2 linked regions of the Oryctolagus cuniculus genome follow. The protein of the gene in region 1 interacts with the protein of each later gene in a pairwise test. Links are inferred from orthologs where the notes say so. Each region holds a gene or a part of one and is shown in the gene's direction. Other genes may lie near its edges.

The links. The genes of interacting proteins can lie anywhere in the genome.
Region 2: the proteins of HTT (region 1) and JAKMIP1 interact in binary tests that used the Homo sapiens proteins (3 or more experiments, as listed by UniProt). The link is inferred for Oryctolagus cuniculus from reciprocal best matches to the Homo sapiens genes HTT and JAKMIP1.

Annotation. Positions count from the first base shown.
Region 1 is NC_091433.1:1,727,407-1,734,326, forward strand, and holds the start of HTT (huntingtin), read left to right. Parts: upstream 1-2,183; 5' UTR 2,184-2,333; coding exon 2,334-2,560; intron 2,561-3,123; exon of another isoform or gene 3,124-3,236; intron 3,237-6,920.
Region 2 is NC_091433.1:3,640,415-3,647,497, forward strand, and holds the start of JAKMIP1 (janus kinase and microtubule-interacting protein 1), read left to right. Parts: upstream 1-3,052; 5' UTR 3,053-3,341; intron 3,342-3,820; exon of another isoform or gene 3,821-3,952; intron 3,953-7,083. UniProt on the Homo sapiens protein: Associates with microtubules and may play a role in the microtubule-dependent transport of the GABA-B receptor. May play a role in JAK1 signaling and regulate microtubule cytoskeleton rearrangements.

The DNA of each region.
Region 1 (6,920 bases):
CCAAGCACCTGGGCCATCCTCCACTGCACTCCCGGGCCACAGCAGAGAGCTGGCCTGGAAGAGGGGCAACTGGGACAGAATCCGGTGCCCCGACCGGGACTAGAACCCGGTGTTTCGGGGCCGCAGGCGGAGGATTAGCCTAGTGAGCCGCGGCGCCGGCCCCGCGGTATTAATCTTTAATTACTCTGTTTGGAATATGCCAGGAGTGGAGCTGGGTTTCCAGGCCAGGCGCCTGACGGGAGCTCGGGGCTTCCCGGCAGGGCCCACGCGCTAGTGCGTTTCCCGAGGCTTCCTGGCAGGACCCCACAGTGCGTTCCGGGCAGAGGCAGGCAGCCGGGGCACCTGGGCTCCCGGTCCTACCGGCTGCGCCGTCCCAGGCAGCGGGCGGGCGAACCCCTCCCCTTTCAGGGGACTTCCAGGAGGGGCGCTCATACTGGGCAAGCTGCCCAACAGAGCTGGGCGGCTGTTCGCACGCAGCCTCGGGGGGTGGGAGGTCCCCAGGGGGTCCCGATCCCCTGTGACTAGCGTCTGCACAGGAAGCAGTGGGCACACAGACCAGAGGGCGGCCCCGGGCCTGGGCAGTGAGGATCCATGGCCGCGGTTTAAGGCCCACCCCCCCAGGCCAGCGAACTCAACACGTGTGCACCACACGTCACTGCACAACACAAAGGCACAACACGCGTGGATGACAGCGCTCACCGGCCTGAGCGGGGAGGAGCCCCCTCCTGGCCGCCAGGCTCCCTCGGCGCTGGGCCGGCTGCACCTGCGGCCCTGTACGCGCCCACCTCCCTCTGCTCGCTCACGGGGTGCCCCGGACCCCTCGGCGACAGCCTGAACGCCCCCGGGCATGAGGGGGCGCCCCACGCCTTTGCTGAGCGTCTGCGCCCCCTGGGGCCGCTCCCCTTCGCAGGGAGACCCCAGTAGGCTCAGCCCCGACCTGCCGGCGTCTGCAGCTCTACGTCGGGGAGGGGCTCTTCCCTCGTGGGGTCTTCCCGGTCGCGGTTCGCCGACACCAGCCCTGCACCTGTTCCAGCCCCCATGGTTCGTTCCCGCTAGCCCCGCCCCCAAGCCTGCCCCTTCCCCTCCTCTATAGCCACCCTTCGCCCCGCCCACTCCCCGCCCCTTCAGGGCCCGCCCCTCAGATTGGTTCCTCGCCCCGCCCCCTCTGGACCCGCCCCACCGCTCTCCGCCCCGCCCCCTCGCCTGCCCCTTCCCCGTTCCCTAAGCCACCCTTCGCCCCGCCCCCTAGAGCCGCTCCTCGCCCCGCCCCCTCTGGACCCGCCCCACCGCTCTCCGCCCCGCCCTCTCGCCTGCCCCTTCCCGTTCCCTAAGCCACCCTTCGCCCCGCCCCCTAGAGCCGCTCCTCTCCTCGTCCCCTCTGGGCCCGCTCTCCGCCCTCCTAGACGCTCCTTGCCCCGCCCCCTTGCCTGTTCCTTCCCCGTTCCCCATAGCCACCTTTCGCCCCGCCCATTTCCCCGCCCCTCAGAGTCACTCCTCGCCCCGCCCATTTCCCCGCCCCCTCTGGGCCCGCCCCACCGCTCTCCGCCCCGCCCCCTCGTCTGCCCCTTCCCGGTCCCCTATAGCCACCCTTCGGCCCGCCCCCTAGAGACGCTCCTCGCCCCGCCCCCTCTGGACCCGCCCCACCGCTCTCCGCCCCGCCCCCTCGCCTGCCCCTTCCCCGTTCCCTAAGCCACCCTTCGCCCCGCCCCTTAGAGCCGCTCCTCGCCCCGCCCTCTCCCCGCCCCCTCAGTCACTTTTCGCCCCGCCCTTGCCCCGCCCCTCTGTCACTCCTCGCCCCGCCCTTTCCCCCGCCCCCTCTGGGCCCGCCCCGCAGTCACTCCTCGCCCCGCCCTCTCCCCGCCCCTCTGGGCCCGCCCCTCAGTCACTCTTCGCCCCGCCCTCTCCCCGCCCCTCTGGGCCCGCCCCGCAGCCGCTCCTCGTCCCGCCCTCGTCCCGCCCTCGCCCCGCCCCCTCGCCGTCTTCGCCCTGAGGTAGCGCTGGGTTCTAACTGCAGCGCAGGCTCTGAGGAGCGAAGCTGCCGAGGGCGGAGTGGGGGAGGTACGGGCCGGCGCCTCGGCCGGCCATAGGCAGAGACGGCCGCCTCGGGCTGTCAATCCCGCCGCTTCGGCGTGGTCCTGCCTCCGCCGACGCAGCGTCGCTGGACGCGGGGCGCCGCGGGGGCTGCCGGGACGGGCCCAAGATGGCCGGGCGCGCTGGTTCCGCTTCTGCCCCCGGCCGCGAACCTCATTCATTGCCTCGCTGCTGAGGGGCGCCGCGTCGCCGCGAGCCGGCCCGAGGCCGCTGGGGGCTGCCCTGCGGGGTGAGAGGCCGCCATGGCGACCCTGGAAAAGCTGATGAAGGCCTTCGAGTCCCTCAAGTCTTTCCAGCAGCAGCAGCAGCAGCCGCCGCCAGCGCCGCCGGCGCCTCAGCCGTCTCAGCCGCCGCCGCCGCCGCCCGCGCAGCCGCCGCCGCCGCCGCCGCCCGCGCAGCAGCCGCCCCCGCTGCCGTCCCCGCCGCCGCCTCCCGGCCCGGCGATGGCCGAGGAGCCGCCGCACCGACCGTGAGTCCGGGGGCAGCGGCGGGGGCGCCGGCCGCTCGGGGCGGAGGGTCGGGAGCACGGTGCGGCCACGGGCCGGCGGGAGGGGAGGTGCCGGGCCCGGCGCGGGAGGCCGTGCGGGCGCGGGTGACGTCATGCTGCTGGGCCGGCGGGGCCGCGCGGGCGGGGGAGCCTCGGCGACTGCGGCCGCGGCCCCGCGGGCTCGCGTGGGCGCCGCGTTCCGAGCGCGGCCTGAGCGACAGGCCTGTCTGCGACCCCGCGTTGGCCCGCGCGCGGGACCCCGCGGCCAGCGCGGTGCTGGACACGGCGCGGTGCGATGCGCGAGACGCGCGCTCCCGCGGCGCCGGCCGGGGCGCGGGGTGCCCGCCGCAGGGGCGCCCGGGGGCTTCGCTGCTGCCAGCCCCTTACCCTGCTGGGCCTGGGGAGGGGGTTCTGAGGCAGAAACAGGAAAGCAAGTCCCCGAGCAGGCTGGGGAGTGCGGGCTTTCCCGACGGGCGGTGTGGACGGCAGGCGCGCCCCGGGGCGCCCGTGTGTCGGGCGGGCCGCCCTGCAGCCCCTCTCCCGGTCTCCGTGTCTGCTGCGCTGGCCTTGTCCTGAGCGTTCAGTACGGGAAGCGGGCTCCGGGGAGCAGTGCGGGCTCGTTTGAGAATCAAGCTCGGGAATCCCGTTCGTTGTAAAGGTAAAAACAGGTACTCCCCGGCACTCGCTCCGCGGCTCTGCCCTGCTCCTCTCCGGCTTATTCGCCGTCAGGAAGTCTTTCCTGTGTGCTTGGCCGGCACCGTGCAGGCGCGGGCCCAGCCGGGACGGAGCTCCGCTCCCCCGGGCTCTCGCGTGGGGCCGACGTAGGGAAGCCGGACGCCGAGGTCGGTGTGCGCTCTGGCAGCCGGAAGTGCAGGGAGGGACGGCGACTGTCGGGCTGGAAGGCGTTGACGTTTGCCTGGGGTGGCCGGGGGCCGCGCTGGCCTCTGAGGTGAGGCCTGCAGAGCGAGCAGGGCCCGGCGCGAGGCCGCGGAGCGGGGCGTTCCGGGCGGGAGGGAAGGTCAGAGGGCGAGGGAGGGCCATCGGGGGATCCGCCTTCTCGCAGGGAAGCCGCTGGGGTGTTAGAGCCGAGGCCTGGCGCGACCAAGCCCCGCTGGGAAATGAACTTTGTTGACATGCACGTGAAGGGGCACACGGGCGGGAAAAGGACCTGGCTGGAAGTCTGCACGCCAGCTGGGCCCGCGTGGTTCTGGCTGGCAGTGCGCCTGGGCGAGACCCAGCAGCATTGTTGATCTCTGCTTGCCGTAATGAGTTTAGCTCTGGTTGGTGTTACCACTTAGGGTTGTATCCCGCTGCAGTGGCCTAAGTTAATACGTTTATTGTAAGAAAAAATGAGTTGGGTGGAGGCTCTGCCTCCTGTGTCAGAGTGCACTTCCTGCTAGGCGAGGTCCCGGGAAGCCGTGCGATCGCCCAAGGGCCCGGGTTCTGGGCAGGAGACTGCAGCTTCACTCCTTTTGAGTTCCTCCTGCCTGCCTTCGGCCCTTATGCACTTGGGGGTAACCAGTGGATGAGAGGCTCTGTCTCTTTCTCTGAGGAGGTCAGTGGGGAGGTTGGGGAGCTAGGCTTTTTCTTAACTCTTGTCGCCATTTTTTAGTATTTACATATTTTTATTGCTGAATTACAAAAGTTCTTTATATATTCTGGATACTAGTAAACCCATACAAGATAGATGATCTGTAAAAACTTTTTTGAAAGGCAGAGACAGAGAACTTCCGTATGCTGGTTCACTCCCCAAATGTCCAGAAGGCTGGAGCTGGGCCAGGCTGAAGCCAGGAGCTTCTTCCAGGTCTCCCACATGGGTGCAGGGCCCAAGGACTTGGGCCATCCTCTGCTGCTTTCCCAGGCCATAGCAGAGAGCTGGACCAGAAATGGAGCAGCCGGGTCTTGAACTAGTGCTCATGTGGGATACTGGCACTGCAGGTGGTGGCTTTACCCACTGTCATCCAGCCAGTATAGACATTTTAATGATATTGATTCTTCTGATCCATGAGCAAGATTTATCTTTCCATTGTTTTGTGATGAATAGACTTTTATGTCAGTGATTGAATGTAATATTTCAGGCTCTGTGGGCAAACTGTTGCAGTTCCTCCAGTGTGCCACCGTAGCAGGCAACGGCCACAGATAGTACCTGATGAACTGGCTGTGTCCAGTCAGGTTTACAGATAACAGTGACATCTGAATTTCATGTAATTTTCACATAGCATGAAATATTATTATTTGATTTTAGGGAGGTGTTGTAAACTTACATTTAAAAAAGTAAAAACATTTGTTAGCTTGTAGGCTGGCCAAAAACAGGTAGCAGTTTACCCTTCCTATATTAAAATATGGTAATATTTTGGCCGGCGCCGCGGCTCACTAGGCTAATCTTCCGCCTAGCGGCGCCGGCACACCGGGTTCTAGTCCCGGTCGGGGCGCCGGATTCTGTCCCGGTTGCCCCTCTTCCAGGCCAGCTCTCTGCTGTGGCCAGGGAGTGCAGTGGAGGATGGCCCAGGTGCTTGGGCCCTGCACCCCATGGGAGACCAGGAAAAGCACCTGGCTCCTGGCTCCTGCCAGGATCAGCGCGGTGCGCCGGCCGCGGCGGCCATTGGAGGGTGAACCAACGGCAAAGGAAGACCTTTCTCTCTGTCTCTCTCTCTCACTGTCCACTCTGCCTGTCAAAAAATAAAAAATAAAAAAAAAAGAAAAAAATATGGTAATATTTTAGGACTCATTTTTTTAAAGGTTTATTTATTTATTTATTTGAAAAGCAGAGCAGGGGCTGACGCTGTGGCTGAGCAGGTAAAGCCGCTGCCTGTGGTGCCAGTATCACATGTGGGTGCTGGTTCAAGTCCCAGCTGCTCCACTTCTGATCCAGCTCTCTGCTCATGCACCTGGGAAAGCAGCGAGGATGGCCCAAGTCCTTGTCCCCTGCACCCGTGTGGGAGACCGGGAAGAAGCTCCTGGCTCCTGGCTTCGGGTCAGCACAGCTGTGGCTGTTGCAACCAATTGGGGAGTGACCCAGCAGATAGAAAACCTCTCTCTCTCTGCCTCTTCTTCTTTCTCTGTATAACTCTGACTGTTCTACTTATTTTTATGCTTCCATCTGTCTAAAGACATTTTAGTAAAAAAAAATTAGTACAACATAACTGATATTTCAGTGTCCTCCCTGGGTTAGGTGGTTCCTTACATCTGCTGAAGAATTTCAGTGCGCAGCATTCTGTGTGACCTCCACATCATTTGCTGTTGTGAGCATTGCAGGATATTGTGCTTAAATGACACGGATTCTGATAGCCGAAGTATTAATGTGTGTATGCACAGAATAGTTCTGACTGAGCTGGTATCCCCATCTTTATTTTAAAAATCTTCCTGAAAAGTCCTAATTGTCTGGGACACTCTCACACAGCATAGAGCCTGGTCGGAGTCCTAGAGCTGCTGCAGAGGACCCTGAGGCCCTGCCCGGCCCCTCACAGTCCTCCCTCTGCAGGCCGCGCAGCCCTGGGCCTCGCTGCACCCGCGCTCAGGTGTGAGGGTGCCCGTGAGGCCCACCGTGGGGAGAGGCCGAGGAGTGGGTGTTTCAGATTTCTCGGGAGTCCAACCTGGAATCATATTTTTATGCATAATCCTTTTTAAAAGATTTGTTTATTTATTTGAAGGTCAAGAGATAGAGGGAGAGACAGACACACTCAGAGAGAGAGAGAGAGAGATCTTCCATCTGCTGGTCGATTCTCCAGTTGGCTGCAATCACCAGGGTGGAGCCAGGCTGAAGCCAGGAGCTTCTTCCAGGTCTCCCGCACAGGCGCACAGGCCCAAGCACGTGGGCCGTCTACTGCTGCTTTTCCAAGGCCACGAATGGGGAGCTGGATTGGAAATGGAGCCGCGGGGACTTGAACCGGCACCCAAGTGGGATGTTGGCTCACAGGTGGCGACTTCACCCAACTGTGCCACAGTGCCGGCCCCGCGTAATCGTCACCTGACTCTGAAAGTGAGAATTTAGATGAGGGGTCTGAGTTCCCATTTTTGGAGTTAGTTCTTTGGTAATTTTAAAATGTGACTGCAGCAGGCTATGGGTCATTGGCTTTTCCTTGTCCTCGCAGTTGTGTGCCTGTGCAGCTTAGATGAAGTTAAAGTGATTAAAGCTTTAGCACTGTGTTGCCATATTTATCTAGTTCCTGCTCAGAGAAGGTGGTTTTGTTTTCCGCTCAATTCCGTACTCTTCATGGAGAACAAGTCAGTTTGACTTCATTGTCTAATTAAATTCTGGGGGGTAATGAGATCCTTGGAATTTTCTAGATCTTTCAGGTCTGCTTGTTGTACAAAATGAGGTCACAAGGTGGTATTTCAGACA
Region 2 (7,083 bases), about 1.9 Mb from region 1:
GATTTGCAGACCTGCTGAGCAATTCAGCACCCCGGAGCTGTCCAACCCGGCACGTCCCTGGACCTGGACAGGCGTCGGGATCACAGGAGGCACTCGGTAAAATGCCGATTCCTGGGCCTCAATCCCGGGGAGGCAGAAGAGGAGGCCCTGTCGTCGGCAGCTTTCTCCAAAAATTTTTAAAAAATTTATTTGAAAGACAGAAAGGCAGAGAGAGAGAGAGAGAGAAGTGCCTATTTGTTGGTTCACTCCCCAGTGCCTACAGCGGACAGGGCTGGGGCAGGTGGAAGCCAGGAGACAGGAAGTGAACTCAGGTCTCCCACGTGGGTGTCCAGGACCCAAGTCCTTGAGCCCTCAGCTGCTGCCTCCCAGGGTGCTTGTTAGCAGGGGCTGGAGTGGACAGGCGAGCTGGGACTGGAACCCAGGCGCTCTGATACAGGCCGGCAGCACCCCGAGCGGTCACTTCACCCGATGCCACCCCATCTGCGTTTCTCGTGTGCTTCCCCGGGGCCGGGATGGCACCGAGGTCTAGGAAGCGCTGGTCCAGTCACCTCCGCTGGAAACAGTCCAGTCTCCAGTCACCACGACAATGAGCAAAATCACAGGGAGAACACTGCCTCCTCCTGGACTTGGCAATGCTTGTGAGGTCTGTCAGCCCGAAGCATCGCAAATGCGCCCTGCATTGGTGATCGTACGTGTTCCCTCTTGCAGCAGATTTTGTATTCGCCATTTTTTATTCTGAAGGAGGTCCCTCCACTGTGGAAGCTTCAGGTCCTACGAGCCCTGGGCCATGGATCGCCGTCTGTCCCCGGTCCCCTCTTCCTCTTTTCTGCATGAATGGACCTCGTTTTATTTCAGGCACCAATGTGTACTCTCTGAGTGGCTTTTTTTTTTTTTTTCTTTTAAATTTGCTGCCTCCTCCTAAGCCAGGGCTGGCCTGTGACACTGTTCTGGCCAATGAGACAAAGGCAGCTGGAGACTTTCCAGGTAGCAGTCAGAGGACACTCACTCAGCCGGGGAGTGTCTTTTGCCCTTTCCTCTCCTTGACTGGAACAGTGATGGGATAGAGGGGCAGAGGCAGCTGTACTGTTACCATGAGGACAGCAGGAAGAAGTTAATCACAGGCTGAGGAGGATGGATAAAGTGAGGGGCGGCCTGCGAGTGGGCTTCTGGTTAGGTGAGAAAAAAAATTTAAAGCATTTAAGCTGCTGTATAGCGATCAGGATTACTGTAGTCAAACACAATCCTTCACCGATACACCTGTATGGAAACACACAGGCGGAGTGCTTTAAGCAACAGCCAGCCGCTGTTTCGGCTCTGTCAGCTAGAGGCCAGGGTCACCAGCAGGTGCTGGGATGGACGAGCCCCAGCGCTGGCTGCTGCTGGACATCCCAGGCCCCTCCCAGGTTAGCCGCCGCCCTCAGGGCTGCAGGTGTCTGTGTCCAGCTTCCCCCGGGGACAAGGACGCCCGTCAGAGACTGGCCTGGGGCCCGACCCACTGCACCAGGGCTCATCTGATGAATGACATCTGCGGGCACTGAGAACCCTTGGGGGGGGGGGGCTCTCACACACACCGGTGCTCGGGAGGTCGCAACTCAGCCCCTGCCACCTGGCTGCGTCCCCGATGCCGCCTTCTCGCCCAAGCCCGAGCCATGAGCAAGGCCCCCCAGCTGCACCCCCTGGGCCTCCCGGTCCCCCTCTTCCCCTCTCACCAGAGTGGGCCCTCCGCTCCCCCAGCTCCCTCAGCCCATCCCCCACGGCAGCCGGGGCATCCTTACCCAGCGTCTCGGTCAGCGCGCGCGCGCGCGCGCGGGGGGGGGGCTGCCTGTCCCCTCCCGTCTGACGAGCTGCAGCCGAGGACAGGGGCCGGGCTCTCAGGGTGGACGCTTTAGACGCCACGGGGGCAGGCGTTTGGTCTGGCAACGGGACCCCCACATCCCATCCCAGGGTGCCGATTCCAGCTTCCTGCTCATGCGCACCCTGGCGGGGGGGGGGCAGGTGACGTCCAAGTCCTTGGGTCCCTGCCACCCACACGGGAGACCTGGATGGGGTTCCTGGCAGTTGGGGGTATCTGGGGAGTGACCCAGTGAACAGGAGGTCTCTCTCTCTTTTAAATGGAATGAATGAATGGATGAATGGATACACGCACCCTCCACACTGCTGGCCGGACCGTGGGCGCTCAGCCCGCAGCCCCGGTTCCTGACGGACAGCTCTGCGCGTGCGGGGAGGCCCGGGTGTGACTGTCACCGCCCCCGCACACACCGCGAATCCCAGCTGGCACCCTGAGCCCGCGCCGGGCCCTGGACCACCGCCCAGGCCGTGCGTCCCCCGTGTCAACGCCAGCCTCGGGATTCCCACGGCCCAGGGGGCCTGCCCGCCCCCGCCCCGCTCTTTCTCAAGGTCTCAAACGCGCCCCCTCCCCGCATTCAAACTGCGTCCTGCACGCCGTTCCCTCCCGCTTCCTCGCCAGAGGGCAAGAGCCGCGCGGGCCGCGGCCGGGCCGGAGCCCTGGGGCGCTGCAGGTGCTCACGGGGACCTGCCGGCCGCCCCGGCCACACGCACGCGCGCCCGGCCAGGCCCACCTCCTCCCGCAGCCTCCGCGGTTCTCGGCCCGTGGCCAGCCCCGGGATGCAGACGCCCGGCGCAGGCGTGGACTCCGCCACCCGCCTCACCTCCGCCACCTTTAACCTCTGACCTTCAGACTGCTCCTCGGCACAGAGGGGGAACCGGCACCGCGGTCGCCGGCCTCCCCGCTCCCCCGGCACACGCGCGGGCGCCCTGCGGGCAGGGACAGCTCCCGACACGGCCAGCCCAGACCCCAGCCTGCAAGGCCCTCCCCTCCCCATCACCGGGGGCTGCTCGCCGGCGGACGCGGGCGGACTGGGGGCCGCGGGCGCAGTGCGCACGCTCGGGCCGCCCGCGCCCCCTTCTCGCAGGCAGAGCCGCTCCCGGCGCCGGCCTCGGGCGGGGCGGGGCGGCCCTCCCTGACTGGCGGGAGGCCGGGCCAATCGGAGGGGCGCCCCGGGGGTGGGGCGGGGCCTGCCTGGAGCCGGGCGCCGGGGCCGCGGGAGCTGCAGCCGCGAGCGTGCGGCACGCGCCGGGCGCCCGCGCCGAGCTCGGTCCCGGGGCCGCGGCGCTCGACCCCCGTCCCGCCGAGCCCGGCCCCCTCCGTTGCTTTCCCACGGTTTTCCGCATCCATTCATTCATTTCTGCTCCGTCTCGTCCCTCCTAAGGGGGCGGCGGCGTGAGCTCGGGGCGGGGAGGGGGCGGCCGGAGGATGCGGCGCGGGACTGCGCCCGCCACGCCCGCTGCTGCCGCCCGGCTCGGGCCCGAGCGCCGAGCAGGTGGGTACAGGTGCGCCGGGGGGCGGGGGGCGCGCCCGGGCCGGAGAGGACCGCAGAGCGGGGGTGGCGAGGGGGCCGCGGCGACCCCGGCCGCCCCCGCCCCCTTCGTGTCTGACAGCCGTCGCGTCCCCTCTGATCCACCCATCCCGGTGTCCGCCTCCCCTTCCCATCCCCCACCCCCGCGCGTCGTCGACGCCCCCTCCCTTCCCGCCCCCAGCCCCCTCCTCACCCCGCCCAGCCTCCACTCTGCTCCCCGTTGCCCCCCCCCCCCGGGCCCCGCGGCGGCAGGGGACCCCGCCCGTGGCTCCCGGGAGTGGCGCGGGGGTGTGGCCGGCCGGCCGGGCGCGCCGAGTCCCGGGACCCCGCCGCGGTGGCCCCCAGGGCGGAGGCCAGCGCTGCGCGGTGCCGGCGGGGGTCGGCAGGGCGAGGCTGCGGGCGGTCCCCCGCACCTCCCCGCGCTGCTCCGCCCACGTGCGCGCCGGGGCGGAGGCCGGCGCGGCGCGAAGAAAGGCGGGTGCCCACCTCCCTGCGGCGCCTTGCCGTGCGCCCCGCGTTCGGGCCCGCGGCCTCCCCGCCAGCCATCACCGCTTCCTCCCTGCTGTGTCACCCAGGTAGACGCCCCTCGCCAGGCTGGGGCCTTCCGCGCTGGGAGGACCCCCTTCCCGGTGCGCCGCGGAGCGCCGGGCCGGCCTCGGCCCTGGGCCAGCCTGCGCACTCTCGGCGCGCTGTCCTTGGCCTTTGGTTGCGCCGTTCCCTCTCAGGAACAACCTTTATCTGGGCAGCTCCTCTAGCCCAAGGTCAAGGGGAGCCCTGGCCCTGAGCTTCCCTGTCCGGCAGAGCTGGGTGCGCTGCGTGCTTACCTTGGCAAGGCCTTTGCCTCCGGACCAGAAGAGCAAGCGCGGGGGGTCCTAGCCCTGCATCAGAGGGACCCGCGGAGGTGGGGTGCGGCTGGCCCTGCTCCCTGGGCTGTGGGTTTGCTGAGATGGGCTGAAGGAGGGGTGGTCGGGAGCCCCCCCGTCCCGGCAGGGTCCTGGCCTGGCAGGGTGCAGGGCTCTGGGAAGCCCCATGGTGCACCTCGCACTCCCACTCCCATGCTTTGTCGCGCAGGCTCTTGCACCTGCTTGGCTCAGGGCTGCGGTGACAGTCACCGGGAGAGGGTGACACGGTCCTCCCTCTCACCCCACGGTGGCGCCTACTGCCCCCACACCTCGATGCTGGCTTCCTGCCCCTCCCCCGCCCGCCCCGGCCCGCACCTGTCTCAGCCACAGGTGGTGCCTGTGTCCCCTAGGCCGCATCTACACCCCCCCCCCCGTGTGAACTCCTGTTCTCCCGTGGGGCCCGTTCTCCATGTCTTCTCTGCTGGCCGGCTGTCTCTCTGCACCCTCAGAACCTTGCACATAAACACAGCACACTGCGCGCTGTTCCCTTAAGCAGGTCTTGCCCACCCAGACAGGGCCACCTTAAGCAGGTCTTGCCCACCCAGACAGGGCCACCGTGAGGTCTGAGAAACGGCCCCACGTGGCTGGGGCTCTGTCTTCCTGGGGAAGTGGTCACGCCGGCCCCACCACTGCCGGAGGCTCCCCTCGGCCTGCCCAGGGGAGGTGGCGGGCTCGAGCCCTGCTCTCTGGGTGTGCAGGGGCGTTGTGGCGCTGGGGGCGCGTGGTGGAGACACCATTTCCAAGGCTAACTGGCCAGCAGCCCCTGGCTGCTCTGCAGGCTCTGAGCCACCCTACCTGGGCTCCTGTGTGGACCCTGACCCTCCACCCTCACTGGGCAGGTGCCGCCACCTGGGCTTTCCCACTAATGTGGGCGCCCCGTGGGAGAGATTGGGGGTCACTGGGCACACCCCAGTTCTCCGGGGACCCAGCCCGCTGGGCTTCTGAAGCCGTACTCCCTGGGTCCTGTCCCTTCCGTCTGTGTTGTCGTGGTTAGGAGGGTTGGCCTCTCAGCCTCCACTTCCTGTGGGCGTGGGGGCCGTGGTGTCTCTGGCCGGGCCGCCTGCGTGGCGGTCACAGGTGAGGTCCCTGAGCTGTGAGAAGCTGAGCTTTAGCCTTGTCTAGATGGATGCCCGGGTCGGAGGCCTTTTTTGTCCTTTCTGGTTCACAGTGGGGCAGTCACCATCGTTGATGTCACAGGCAGGGTGACTGAGCAGTGTGGGGCCGGGTGGGCTGGAGGCGCTGGCTCTGTGACCCTGGGCGAGTCCCTTGGCCTCTCTGCTCAGCTCCTGCTGTCTGCACACTGGGGATGGGTCACAGGAGAGTGGCTGTTGTTGCTGGCCTCCCACGCCTGCTGTGGATGGCACCTGGCAAGGGGGGGTGCTGTCGGAGTGGGGGGTGGCACACCCTGCACGTGCTGCCCCTGAGGCTCGCCGACCCCTGCCGTGGAGCAGTGAGCTTCCTGCAGGACCCCTGTGAGGAAGTCCCCAGGGGCCCCCGGTGCTCTCCGCGGAAGCCCGGGACGGGCACAGCTGTCATAGAGGCTCAGAGCAGGGCCCCGGCGCTGGCCGGCGGTGGGGCCTTGGGGCCCGGGCTCTTACCCTGCGAGCCTTCAGAAAGTGTTTCTTTTGTTGTGCTTTTCCAAGGCCAAGTGCACAAGTGCAGGGATGGGGGATAGCAGGGTGGGGCTGCCGTGGGAGGAGATGCGAAGGGGCAGATTCCAGGGACCCAGTCAGTAGGAGAGGGCAGGTGGTAACCCGCTCCCCGCGGCTGGGAGGAGGAGCCGGGCAGGGTAGGGTGGGGGTCCGGCAAGGTGGGGTGGGGCCTCTGCTCTTGCCTCAGCCTTGGTGTTTGCTTCACTGTCTTATATGTCTGTAGAAGGAAAGCGACGTAAGTGCACTCTCTTGGTTGTAACGGTTGGCGTTTTGTGAAGCACTTACCAAGTGCCAGGGGCTTTTATAAATAAAGTTTTATTGGAACACAGCCGTGCCTGTTTGGGTGCTGTGGTCTGTGGCAGGATCAGGCGTTGTGGCAGACACCTGCCGAGCCAAACCCTCTGTCCCCTCTGTCCCCTCTGTCATGAGCTCATTGAGTCCCGGAGGAGGTGCACCTGCACTTCCTGTTTATGGGTGGGCACAGGGAGGCTGTGAAGCCTGCCTGGGGCCACACAGCCTGGAATTTCCAGAGCGGGAATCGAAGCCAAGAAGTTCACTTTTATTTCCCTGGGAGGTTTATATTTTTATTAGCATCTGATTGAATTTTACTGTGTTCGTAGGATGTGGTGTGTATATCTGTTGTCAAAAATTGTTGACAAGTCCTTCACCACCTAGCACTGGCAATGAGATGTTTTATTTAAGATGTATACAGTGGATTTTTAACGGTGGCTCAGATATCGACTCTAAGTGTCCCGTTCAAGGGCATTAGTATCTTCATATTGTCGGGCAAGCGGCCCCAGCCCTGCCTCTGGAACTTCTCCACCGTCCCAAACCAGAGGCCGTGTCCTCAGCTCAGCACCCCATGCCGTCTGGTGGGCGTTTCCTAGAGCAGACGCCAGCGACCGTGTGGTTTGGCGGGGCAGCTTGGACGTCAGCCTTGGCTCTGAATGTCGCCTCTGCTGATCGCCACCTGATCTCGTCCCAGAACCCTGCGTGCCTCAGTTTCCTTGTTTGGGGTGTGAGGTTGACCCCGAGCCCCGTCCCTGGAACTCACTTGGCTGTGAGGATGTGGGAGCACAGGGGGCAGCGGCTACTGTCGTGCAGTGGGCAGTCCCTCGGGCAGCCACACGCAGTCTGCTGCTGGGTTAGCTG